Bombyx mori: one gene and its partners. The protein of the gene in region 1 interacts with the protein of each later gene in a biochemical or structural test. Links are inferred from orthologs where the notes say so. Each region holds a gene or a part of one and is shown in the gene's direction. Other genes may lie near its edges.

Evidence for each region.
Region 2: the proteins of uncharacterized monothiol glutaredoxin ycf64-like (region 1) and bolA-like 3 form a complex in vitro, tested with the Homo sapiens proteins (4 studies listed by BioGRID and IntAct, with this or other methods). The link is inferred for Bombyx mori from reciprocal best matches to the Homo sapiens genes GLRX5 and BOLA3.
Region 3: the proteins of uncharacterized monothiol glutaredoxin ycf64-like (region 1) and bolA-like protein DDB_G0274169 form a complex in vitro, tested with the Homo sapiens proteins (2 studies listed by BioGRID). The link is inferred for Bombyx mori from reciprocal best matches to the Homo sapiens genes GLRX5 and BOLA1.

What each region holds. Positions count from the first base shown.
Region 1 is NC_085124.1:9,560,162-9,564,357, forward strand, and holds uncharacterized monothiol glutaredoxin ycf64-like, read left to right. Parts: upstream 1-1,443; 5' UTR 1,444-1,954; coding exon 1,955-2,207; intron 2,208-3,130; coding exon 3,131-3,318; 3' UTR 3,319-3,610; downstream 3,611-4,196.
Region 2 is NC_085124.1:484,790-488,778, forward strand, and holds bolA-like 3, read left to right. Parts: upstream 1-1,237; 5' UTR 1,238-1,448; coding exon 1,449-1,496; intron 1,497-1,568; coding exon 1,569-1,739; intron 1,740-2,951; coding exon 2,952-3,086; 3' UTR 3,087-3,357; downstream 3,358-3,989. UniProt on the Homo sapiens protein: Acts as a mitochondrial iron-sulfur (Fe-S) cluster assembly factor that facilitates (Fe-S) cluster insertion into a subset of mitochondrial proteins. Probably acts together with NFU1.
Region 3 is NC_085115.1:575,982-580,120, forward strand, and holds the start of bolA-like protein DDB_G0274169, read left to right. Parts: upstream 1-1,224; 5' UTR 1,225-1,355; coding exon 1,356-1,377; intron 1,378-1,876; coding exon 1,877-2,070; intron 2,071-2,435; coding exon 2,436-2,585; 3' UTR 2,586-4,139. UniProt on the Homo sapiens protein: Acts as a mitochondrial iron-sulfur (Fe-S) cluster assembly factor that facilitates (Fe-S) cluster insertion into a subset of mitochondrial proteins. Probably acts together with the monothiol glutaredoxin GLRX5. May protect cells against oxidative stress.

The sequences.
Region 1 (4,196 bases):
TTCATTTAACTTCATAATATAATTTGCTGAGTTCATTAGTACATTAATCAAATTACTTTCTCAACCTAATTTATCTATACCATCCCACGCTGCTAATTTAATTCATACTTACACTGATATTAATAATGGCCAACATGGACAGTTTCGTTCGTTTTTTATTATTCATAAACTGTAAATAGTTCAAACGGTAAAAAAAATCTTATTACTTGACACTGGCTAATGCACAAACCCGCACGGTTTAGCCACAATAAAAAAAGGTACCTATTATAATGTTAGTGATGTAAAGATGGAATAATACCGATATTTGTCAATATTACCTAATACGAATATATTCATGATGTAATATTATAATACCTTAACTAATACGTGAATATATCCTGATATCTTAATATACTTCGATAAAACGGGTAAACGAGTTAAACCTAGTACGGTATTCATGAAATGAGTTAATAATCATAGATAATACACATAAATTAGTTATTAAATTAATATAAATAGTATATTGTATGTAGGAATTTGACTTCATACTAAATATTTTACAAGTAATATTATGTACATTAATAGCCACGCTTGAAAGGCAAACGTGACTAAGCGTGAACTTTACAGTAGACTAATTTAAAGTTGAAATACCTGAAGAAAATAAAATATTTTAACGAATCTAGCTGTAATAGAATCTAGCTAGTAGCTGTAGGATTGAAATGATTTTAATAGACCTACAAATATACATTTTTTGCGCATCGAATATTGTTATTGCCTATCATTTATGTATAAAGCAGTTATTGTCGCTTAGTCACGTTTGCCTTTCAAGCGTCGATATGAATATTATTATTAAATCAGAATTTGGTCAACATTGTACATTAATATAAACAACAATTTAGTAATATTATTTATTTCTTATTGGTGCATAAAAACATCAGCTTTTTTACTTTTTCTACCGAAAGACTGGTACGACGCCGCGTCGGTCAGAAATGAGTATTCTAGAATTCGGAAAAACCTTTGACACGGTATTGAGGCTAGTAGGTACACAACAGTTATAATATTATTATTATAATCCATGAATCGTTTGGTTAGAAAGTCATTTCGATTCAAAAATCAAACTTTTATTTATATTTTGAGAAGTTCTTAGAATATAATTAAATACCACCACAAAAATATATTGTTATCCTAATTTATTACGTAAAAACAGTTGTGGCGGTATTACATTTTGTGTAAAAATATTTTAATTTATGAAATTGTTAAACAATGTCAACTACATACTTACTTTCGTTTTTCAAATTATCCTTTTAAAACCAACTAATTCGAAGGAAACAGAAAATTAAATTAAAATAATGGAAATAAAGCTCACCAATTTTATTCCAATAAATGTGAAAATGCACTATTTTGTCTTGAGTTAGAATCTTTAGTATGAATGAAATGAAGTTTCAAACATAAAAAAGTAATGCATTTGGAAATTCCCACTAGCATCTTTGACATGTAAAAAGTGCAATACAAAATAGTCCTTAAAGTCATAGCGAAATGTACTTATTTTCATTGCTCAGTATATAAACGTATAGATTATCGCACTTACTCTACGCGCATGCAGTATTGATATGAATGTGATAGACAGATATCCGCGAGACACGTACGGCGTATGCCAGTATATTTTCTTGTGATAGATACTTCGCTAGAAGTAACAGTGTTCTGTGAATAGATACAACCCGACCGATGTGAGTTGGCTAATATTATGAATAAGTGAATACGGAATATTAGCATATCAGAATTCGGCGGATTACCGATACACGAATGCAAGCTGTAGAATATCTTAGTGAATACTAACATATCGGTATCACCCTTAGTGAGGATATTGGTCATTCTGTCAATGAAATTTTAGTCTGAAATTTTTGCTTTATAAAATTCGTCAAAGAAAAACTGCGTTCATATCTAATATTAAAAACTAGAATATATCTGTGTTAACATGAACACCTTAGTCAGAAGAAGTTTTCAAGCATTTAATACCACATTGAAGATATCCTGTCGCGCATTTTCAGAAGCTGGAATAAATGACAAAATTGAAAAAATAGTAAAAAATAACAAAGTCGTGGTGTTTATGAAAGGCGTACCGGACGCGCCAAGATGCGGTTTCAGTAATGCTGTTGTGCAGATTATGAGGATGCATGCAGTTCCGTACGAGAGCCATGATGTGTTGAGTGATGAAAATCTTAGACAAGGTGAGTTCGATGCAAAGTAACCTATACAATAGTAGTGACTAGAATTACGTAAATTTTTGTAGTAGCAATAATTTCTTTTATTCAATGCTAATAACAAATATTTTAAGGTGCACTTATGTTGCAATAAACAATTCACATAGTCACTTACTGTCAAGATGTTATTTTCATAAAAATTGGTTTGATTACATGAAAACGAAACTTTCTTCATCCATACTACATGGAGCCACTGCGGTTATCCACAGTGCGTTTCCAGAGATCTTTTTTGCCATGTACCATCCGGCTATGGAATGAGCTTCCCTCCACGGTGTTTCCCGAGCACTATGACATGTCCTTCTTCAAACGAGACTTGTGGAGAGTATTAAGCGGTAGGCAGCGGCTTGGCTCTGTCCCTGGCATTGCTGAAGTCCATGGGCGACGGTAACCACTCACCATCAGGTGGGCCATATGCTCGTCTGCCTACAAGGGCAATAAAAAATAAAAATTTAATTGTTGTTGCATAAAATTTTGACTAGTGCATTACCTACGAGGCCTTTATTACAATTTGAAAAAGTGAAGTTTTTGACTAATGTGCCCTGCTGCCTACTTTGAGTATCATTTAAAAGAAAACGAATGTCATAAGATGATAGACTAATTATTTTACCCACTAGTTTGTGCTTTTAAATGTGATTGTCATTGAAATTACAATAGGCAAACGGAAAATGTATCTCTTATGGTACCGAAATTACAACACATTGAATGCCATAATGGACATCATGTGTCCGACAACATACTATTCCTTGGGGCTGTACTAATGTGTACTAATGTGTAACTCTAAAAATATGAATGAATCTCTACAAAAGCAATTTTTGTAAAAAGTAGATATTATCTCTGATATTGGAAATTGTTTGAATGTATGAAGTTACAATTATAACAATATTTTGCAGGTATAAAAGATTATTCGAATTGGCCTACAATACCTCAAGTCTTTATCAATGGTGAATTTGTTGGTGGTTGTGACATAATGCTGCAGATGCACCAATCTGGTGAACTCATTGAGGAACTGAAGAAAGTGGGTATAAAAAGTGCACTTTTAACAGCTGAAGAGGCAAAGCAAGGGGAGAAGAAAAATTAAAATACCCATCTCAGGTATTATGTATTTAATTTTGTAGTTTTCTATTTGTATTAGAAATTATTGTTTTAATTCATTTTAAGTGGTGGTACTGTATAGAAACAAAGACATAATTGTTAAAATTAAAGTATTTATGAAGAAATCTCTGATGTAATAAGAATTTGTTAAAGTGTGACGATTTTTTGTTTTTGAAAGCCCAAGTCCATATATTATTTGTGTTGTTTTAATAATTTTGTTGTAATAGTTATTGCTTAGTTTTAGGTAGTTATTGTGAAATAAAGTAATGCAAGTTTAAGAGCTCTTTATTTAATAATTAGCTGTACATTCGAGTTAGTATACTTTTTGGGCACATAATAATTTTTTCTTAATCTAAGTACCATACTCCATGTAAAATAAATTGGTTGGATTAACAATGTAGTCAATATTAAAAGACGAAAATATGGCAGATCATTTATTTACGAGTACTCATTCAAAAATACTCTCACAAACGACAATAAATATATAAAAAAAAAGATAAATAAATTGATGCAGGCAAGTTATGGCAATCTATGATATAAATAATTTGTGTGACACTTCCCTGCACTTAAGAATTTAGTAAATTTTAGTTTTGCTACCTTTGAAATAAAACATATTTTTAATGGTAGTTATAAAAATGAAACTTGTATAAATAAACTTAAAATAAAATAACAAAAACATTCTCACAATGTGAATGAGTCTTCATTTGGTGTCACACATTAGTCAAGCCTAACATTAGCACCATTTTATCTTACAAATAATTTTGTGACTTTGCTGAGAATTTCATATAAAAGTTAAAAAATATCTAATGCTATGATATAAATAGAGAGATTTAAACAATATAAATGATTTCTCCAATTTGAGCC
Region 2 (3,989 bases), about 9.1 Mb from region 1:
ATTATCACTGCTGTCCCGCCGTGGGCTGTACCGTCTGGATGATTTGTGGAATAGATCTTATATCCTTTAATTCTTATCGAGCTGCTGGTCGTCATGTGTCTCTGAAATTAGGAGAATGTCTAGACTATGTAGACAGATCAGGATTTCCACTTCATCGATGTTGGGTGCCAAGCCATTGATGTTCCATGTAGTTATTTTTAGTGCAGTCATTTTACTAACTTAGAGGCTAGTACTGCAATGAGTTCAAGTAATGTACTCATTTGCTGTAGTACAGTAGCAATCTTTTGGGATTGTTTTATAAACATTTGTTCTATGACTTTATAAGAGTCTGGTTGATGGATTGTATTATTTTGATGTACCTTAGATCTGACTGTATAGGAATACGATTTCTGCTCATGTGCTTTTCTCTGCTTCTGCAGGGGTTCATTTTCCTCTTTATTCTGATTTGCAGATGTTTTATTATCAGTTTCTTTCTTATTTTTTTGAGGTTTATACTTAAATTGCTTATGTTTACGTGGTAAGTGTTGCGAGGTTTTCCTTGATAGGATTTACTTGTATACTTATCGTTGTATTCGAGTTTTCTCTAGATGAAAAATAATACAGGTTTACGAGTTAATAATCTTTGTTACACAAGAGGTGTAACCCAATACTGGTGGTAGGACATCTTGTGAGTCCGCGCGGGTAGGTAACACCACCCTGCCTATTTCTGTCGTGAGGCAGTAACGTACTTGAGACTTTCGAACTTATATGTCAAGGCTATGCATTGCGCTTCACATTTCATTTTATTTTTCTTAAAGCAGAATTTACAAAAGATTATGCTGTATAATGTGATCCTCTCGCCTTTCGCTTGGACAAATTCATAGATTATACGCTATTTAGGTACCTACCTACCATTAAGCGACAACTCTCAACCGAAACATATTGAAAAAATTAAATATATGAATAGACATTTACACGGATTTGAAAAATATCTATAAATGAAGAATACTAAATGATGAATCAAACCTTCTTTATAGTTTTTATACACAACTCTGTTTTATTCTTTTACTTGTCACCTCGACTTAATGTCATTCTCTCTCCATAAAATAAAATGTTCATTGTTTTACTTTAATTATCGTTTATTTTAAAATCCACAACACTAAAGAATTACCTTTTTTCCCTTGAAAAATAAAATTATATATTATGAAAATATTAAACTTAAGAATTGGATGTATGGCTTAGTTCCATTGCCTTTCTCTTCGAGAAAAACCCTTTATACCTACCATTAAAATTATTTTAGGTTAGGTTATCAAAATAAAGAAAAAAGTAAAAGTTTATAGTGAGGTACACATTCAAATTAAATAATTATGGTGTATCAATATTACGTAAAGATTTAATAAAAAATAAGTTTTACTCCTAACTACGTGTGCTAAACAAGTTTGCTGAAAATCCTAAGTTTTAAATACAAAATGTTTCGCAATTTTGTTAAAGTTTTTGAACCTGTTAAAAATCATTTAGTAGGTGCATTTATAATGAATATACATTTCGTGTTTTAAAATGTTATTGACTACATTAGTCTGCTTAATTAGGTGCGTGCGGTCGCTGGAAACGGGGCTAGTACAGGAGCTGCGGGCAGCGTCTACGAAAAGAATTGTGTTTCCAAAGAACAACAACTGACAGATGCATTGAAAAAGGCTATGCCGGGAATCACGTACATCAGTGTGCAAGATATATCTGGGGGTTGTGGCGCTATGTTTGAGGTATGCCAGACTAGTAAATAAATAAATAACTGATCATCCAGCCCCAAATTAGGATTCCCTGTGTTATGGGTACCAGTGAGATACATACTTATTTACCTTTAAAAATAAATATAAACTCCCAGACCAGAAGAGAAAACAAAATTGTTCATTATGCAACATTCAGGTGTGCTGTACTTTGCCACTGAGTATATTTCTAAGGAATTACATAATAATATACAGTTTGGTCATAAATACTGTTATAATAAAATAATGATAATGACATTACATTTGAAAAACCTGTCATTTTTATGATTGTAATTTATTGGGTTGGCTCTTATTTTTGCCAATTTTTGTCAAATATTCTTGTTAAGATGGATTGGATTATGAAAAGCAGGTGGAGAGTACTGTACTTTTTAAAAACACCTCTCCATCTGATTTATATTACTAAAGTAATCTATTGTATTACTAAAATAAAGTAGTAAAGTTAAATCAATTATTAACACTTTAACAAAGTGACTATAACCAGATTGGCAGTGACCATATATAATTTGACTATTCATTTTAGCTATTGACTATTTTTGTCCAGTAGGATAAGCTATACTAATGTCTCCATATCCTTGTTGAATTATAAGAAAATGCACGCACACCTAAGCTAGTCTTTACTTAGTGGCAGTCTCAGCCGGTAAATAAAGTGTTAAGCACATATCAAATGGAATGATAATGGCAATCAGAAAATTAAATATATGAATTTAATAAAAGTCCTCTGTTATTTTTTGAACTATTCATTATTTTATCATGAATTTATTATTTTTTGCTGAGATGTGTGGACCGCCTCATGCAGCCACCTGGTGTTAAGTGGTCACCGGAGCTCATATACTTGAACAACGTAATTGCCACCACCTAACTTGAGATCTAAATCTCAGTTTTCGCTACAAAGGCTGTGAAGTACTTAATTCATCAGAAAAATTAGTATATACCTGCCTGCGGGATTCGAACACCTGGACAGTCACATAGCTCGATACAAATGCACCGGACGTCTCATCGTGCAGGCGATGACCGCTTTTAAAATATCTATGGGCTCTGTTGATCACTTGACGTCAGACTGCCACCTAATTCACTCGTTTATGCAATAAAAAGTACCTAACTACAATCTGTGAAACAAGAAATGGAGTCTTATTTTTATTTTCCCCTCTATATATTAATTCACTACAAAATATTATTATTATTTCACAGATAAGTGTGGAAGCTAAAGAATTCGTAGGGTTGAACAGAGTGAAACAACACAGATTAGTAACAGATTCTCTGAAGAATGAAATAGCAGAAATGCATGGCATCCGTATTCACACGACGCCGGCCGCCACGCAATGAGAATATTGCTGAAGAGGGAAATAGCATCTAAATTTTCTGAAATGACGAATTTCTGGAAAAAATACATAAAAATACAGTTATTGCCATTAGACAAGTATACTTATACTGAAGATTCGCTTTGAAGTGAAAGTCAACCATTAGGAGCAGAATTTTTCCAATTTCTCATCCATCATTTGCAAATATGTACTAAGGTTATGATTTCAGATGAAACGAATAAAAGCATGTGCACTTGTAGAGACATCACAAATTTAATGGTTCTCATCATTCACATGCTCCAAGTATCTTGGAACTGCATCACACAAGCTAATTCCCTCTCTTCTTTTGTATTTTTATTGACCTTTTATGTACATAATTGTTGACATCATAAATTGTTAATATGTTGTAGTGATAGCAATAAGAAATTTTGTTGAGTATCGTATGATATGAATTATATTTGTTAAAATTTGAAATTGTAGATATATTCTATTTGATCAAAATATTTTTTGTTTTATATCTTATTTTCGTTCCCTATACATCCCAGGCGCACTTTGCAGTTTCAACCGTGTAAAATCTGTAATTTCGACAGTAACGACGATCATTAATGTGAGAGGCACCCGGAAGCCGCCGCCCGCTCCAGGCTCAGTACGACTTGAGTATGTGTAGCATTAAGCATTAAGCTCGTTAATGACGAGCTTAATTAAATCTAAACTGAACTCTTAACTACCATCTACTTTTTGTTTTGTATTTTTATTGTGGTATTCCCTTTTTTTAATAGCAGCAGCAATACTCTAATCCCCCCTCACAAGTACTAGCAGCTCTAATGAATACACTAAAGAATCTTAATCAACTGATCATATTATTTATTGTAAGCACAATAACGTTACCTTGAGTTCAAAGAGTAGTTTAGTATAAGTCTGTATCAAT
Region 3 (4,139 bases), on another chromosome or scaffold:
TATGGAAAATAATATTATGAAATGAAATGAAAAAGGAGACGAGACGAGATGAGATAATATGGGATGAAATATAATATAGTAAAATGGTGAATGAGACTTTTTCAGTGGACTTTTTGAAGGATCCCGAGAAGTTACGTTCAGCGGCTTTGTTTTATTTTCCTACATTTGTGCACTTTCACAGATATTAAACAGTTAATAAACCACCGTTATTACAAATTTAATCCTGAAGAAACACTAAATAGACAAAATAAAACAAATCACACAACTTTACTCCACGCGTTCCCGCCAAATAGTCCTCAATGTAGCTGGATTAGCCTCTTATGCTACCAGCAAATAGGGGAACAAAGGTACTTTGTACAAAACGCAACTGTCAAAAACAAACTTAAAGGCGGGAACGAGAAGAGCGGATATCCTACATAAGCCCACTTCTCCCTTATATTTACGTGAGCGATTCTCTTTCATTCGTTCTCCTGATGCTCCCTGCAGGTCCAACCAACGTTCTGTTTTGTTATTCCCTTCCCACAAAACCAATTTCTATTCTCACTCCTTTACTGTGCACGCGGTCAGACTGTGGAATTCGTTGCCGGCTGACATCCGAGTTTGCAAGTCTGTTTCTGTTTTTAAATACAAGGTCAAACAATTTTATCTCTCATCAACCGAATGATCATGGTTCTATACTCTTCGCATATACGAGTGTTACTGTGATACTTATAATATTTGCTATGTGTATGTGCTATAATTCTCATGTTGTATTTGTTATTTTAGTTATGTGTTATTTGTTCTACACACACTTATCACTTTTTATTATTATTCTCATTATCCTCTCGCAGGTCTGCTGGAAGAGATTTCTCAAAGAAATAAGCAGTGCCTTTGTACATAATTTTCCTATTACTCTGTACTGTGTCTTGTTTTCTGTGTGTACATAAATAAAAAAAAATAAGACCGTAGTTGTGTGAAAATGTAACGAAATGAAATAACTGCACTATGTTAACTGTTTTGCGTCTGTCAAAGTGCTCAATTGTAGGAAAATGAAACAAGTTGCTGGACGTGGCTTCTCGAACTCTTCCAAAAAATCCATTAAGGTAATTGATAAAGCCACTATTATTCTACTGAGAATTTATTTTATCCATTTCATTTTTCACTCCGTATCATTTCATAAAACATATTATACAAAAGATTTGGCTGTATGGTATGATATCTTCGCCATTTCAGTTGGAAAAATGGAACTATAATTACTGTCAAAACCAGAAACATTTCAAAAACATTTGTAAAAGAAGAAAAAGTTTATAAAACACATAGGTACATACATACGTAACTAATAAATTTTATTCTTAAAATCGTATCGTTTTATATCTATGTTGAGATTTTTTCAACACCGTAAGTGCCGCTTCTTGTATGCTCTTTATATAAAAGTACTCGATATTAAATATTATAATATGTACCAAATAAACCTTTTATTTTAAATTAATACGTCACCCTGTCGCTAACTAGCATCCAATTCGGGTTACTGTGCCAGCAAAAAAGTATATAATTTATGAAGGCGTTAAAACAAGACCAAAAGTATCTGATAGACAAAAACACCTAAGAACAAACGTAAGTGGAAAAGACCAAGGGAGAGATTTCCATCAAGCGGTTGATTATAGTCAGTAAATCAACTGTCCGAATATTGTCGTTTTAACCCATAAATATGTACTACAAGCTTATCTTGTTAATGTGATAAAGGTTTTTAACAAATTCTGTCAATTCCATTCTTAATATAACAACTTTAAACTATATAAGACACGTCTCCACTACACTAAAATACGCTGCTAATAGATTTGAGGAAACTGATTTTCTTAATTCACTGTAACTTTTGTGGTTCACTAATACATTCCAGGAACAATCAGAAACATGTCATCCGCATCAGGAATAGTCGAAAGTACAATAAGAAATAAATTATTAACAATTTTAGAATCAAAGCATGTCCAGGTGATAAATGAATCCTACATGCACAATGTACCAAAAGGAGCTGAAACACACTTCAAAGTAGTAGTTGTTTCAGAAAAATTTGATGGTTTACCTCTTATAAAAGTGAGTTGTCTGAGCTTTGCCCTTAATACTAGCAGAAATGTTCCTTTTTTTCCTACCATTTGAGTTAACAAAAAAATTAAATTATTAATTTAATATATTTGTAGTATCATGCCAGTATCAGACCTCAAACTAAATGAATTTTAACTTCTTATAAATCTGAAAGGCCTACTAACATTGTTTTAAAACTTAAAATCACAATGCAAACGACACTGCCTACATACAGTTTCGATTTATCTATAGGGTTTAATCTCCAAGAAAATTACGGCACTTCATATAAGTAAACTGGTTGTCTTACTCATGGCATATCAGTGGATGCATTTTTATATTCAAATTCAACAAATATATTATTTAAAAACTAATTCCAGAGACATCGTTTAGTCAATGAACTATTGGCAGAAGAACTTCAAAATGGTGTACATGCACTATCAATAGTAGCAAAAACACCTAAACAATGGGAGGAAAGTGATAAACTGGTTGAGAACAGTCCCAACTGTAGAGGAGGATTTGGTAAATAAACTACACTCGCGAGCAAAAGTTTGGAATCACTTACTTGAAATTGATTCCGCGCGATCTTGTGTACTAAATATTTTTTTGATAATCATAAAAATGAGATCATTTTAAAGGTTGAACTCTTAACTTTAAACTGATACCAAATTCATTCAAATCGAGCCAGTAGTTAAGGAGCTATTCCGGATTAAGTGAAGGAGGTAGGAAACAAAGGAAATATGGAAAAATAATGAATGCATAAAACAACAAAAATTAATAAATAAAAAATTTATTTAGCCTTAAAATTAAATGTCAGTACTTTGTGTTCCCTTCCCTTGCCCTAATAACTCCTCGAAGACGATTCTTCATAGACCTGATCAGCTTTTGAATTGATTCTTGTGGGATACCTTCCCACTTCTCAATCAACGCCGATTTCAGCTCATTCAGGCATGAAGGAGCAGAAGTTCTGGAACGAACCCTATTCTTCAGTTCATCCCACACGTGCTGAATATGATTCAAGTCAGGGCTGAGCGCAGGCCAGTCCAATGTGGCGATATAGACTTCTTCGAAGTATTCAGTTGTTCCACGGGCAGTGTGACAACGAGCGTTATCGTGCTTAAGGAGGAAGCGATCACCGGCATATCCCGCATAGGGAACGACATGTTCCAGCAGAATATTGGAAATGTACCCGTCCGAAGTTGACCGCCTCCTCGTCCCCCACCAGGCACGAAAACAAGCTCGGTTTTACCGTCGAAGGAAATGCCGGCCCACATCATACAAGAGCCGACCCCATAAGCCACTGTTTCAGCGAAACAGCACTGCGCAAATCGCTCCCCAGGCCGCCTGCAGACCCAACCTCTTCGGTCGCTACCATGCAAACACATCCTGCTCTCGTCGGAGAACAGGATTTGCCTCCATTGCTCAACCTCTCAATTAAGATTGGTACGAGCAAATTGAAGGCGTGCTTGTCGATGAGCTACCGTGAGTTTCGGGCCTGTGACAGGCCTTTTTGGAGTCAGATTCGCTTGCTTGAGTCGTCGACGAACTGTCTACTTGCTAGCTGCTACCCTACGAACATCTCGGAGCTCCTGTTGGACGTCGACACCAGGTTAATGCCGATTTCGGAGAGAGGTTAACACGATAAAACGGTCATTCCTCTCCGATGTGCCCCGGCGCCGTCCAGATCTTGGTCTCGGGATAAAGCTACCAGTCTCTTGAAAGCGCTTGCAAACTTTTGAAACACAGGAATGGCTTATTTGGAGCCGACGAGCGACAATCCGCTGGCTGAGCTCTTCTTGCAATAGGGCTACGATTTGTGCTACTTCTGTAGGTGTTGTCCCAATTGTCGTACAAGGTAAAGGGTCAAAAGTAGCCGAGATATGTACCAGTCAACGTGTGAAAGTCGACTGATAAAGAAAATCCGATAACAGTTGCTTTTATAGGGGTCAGTAGGCCGCAACTCGCGACGTATCAAGCAATTGAAACACGTCTTTTTCGTTATTCCTTCACTTAATCCAAGATAACTTCTTAAATACTGGCTTGATTTTAATGAATTTGGTATCAGTTTAAAGTTAGGAATTCAA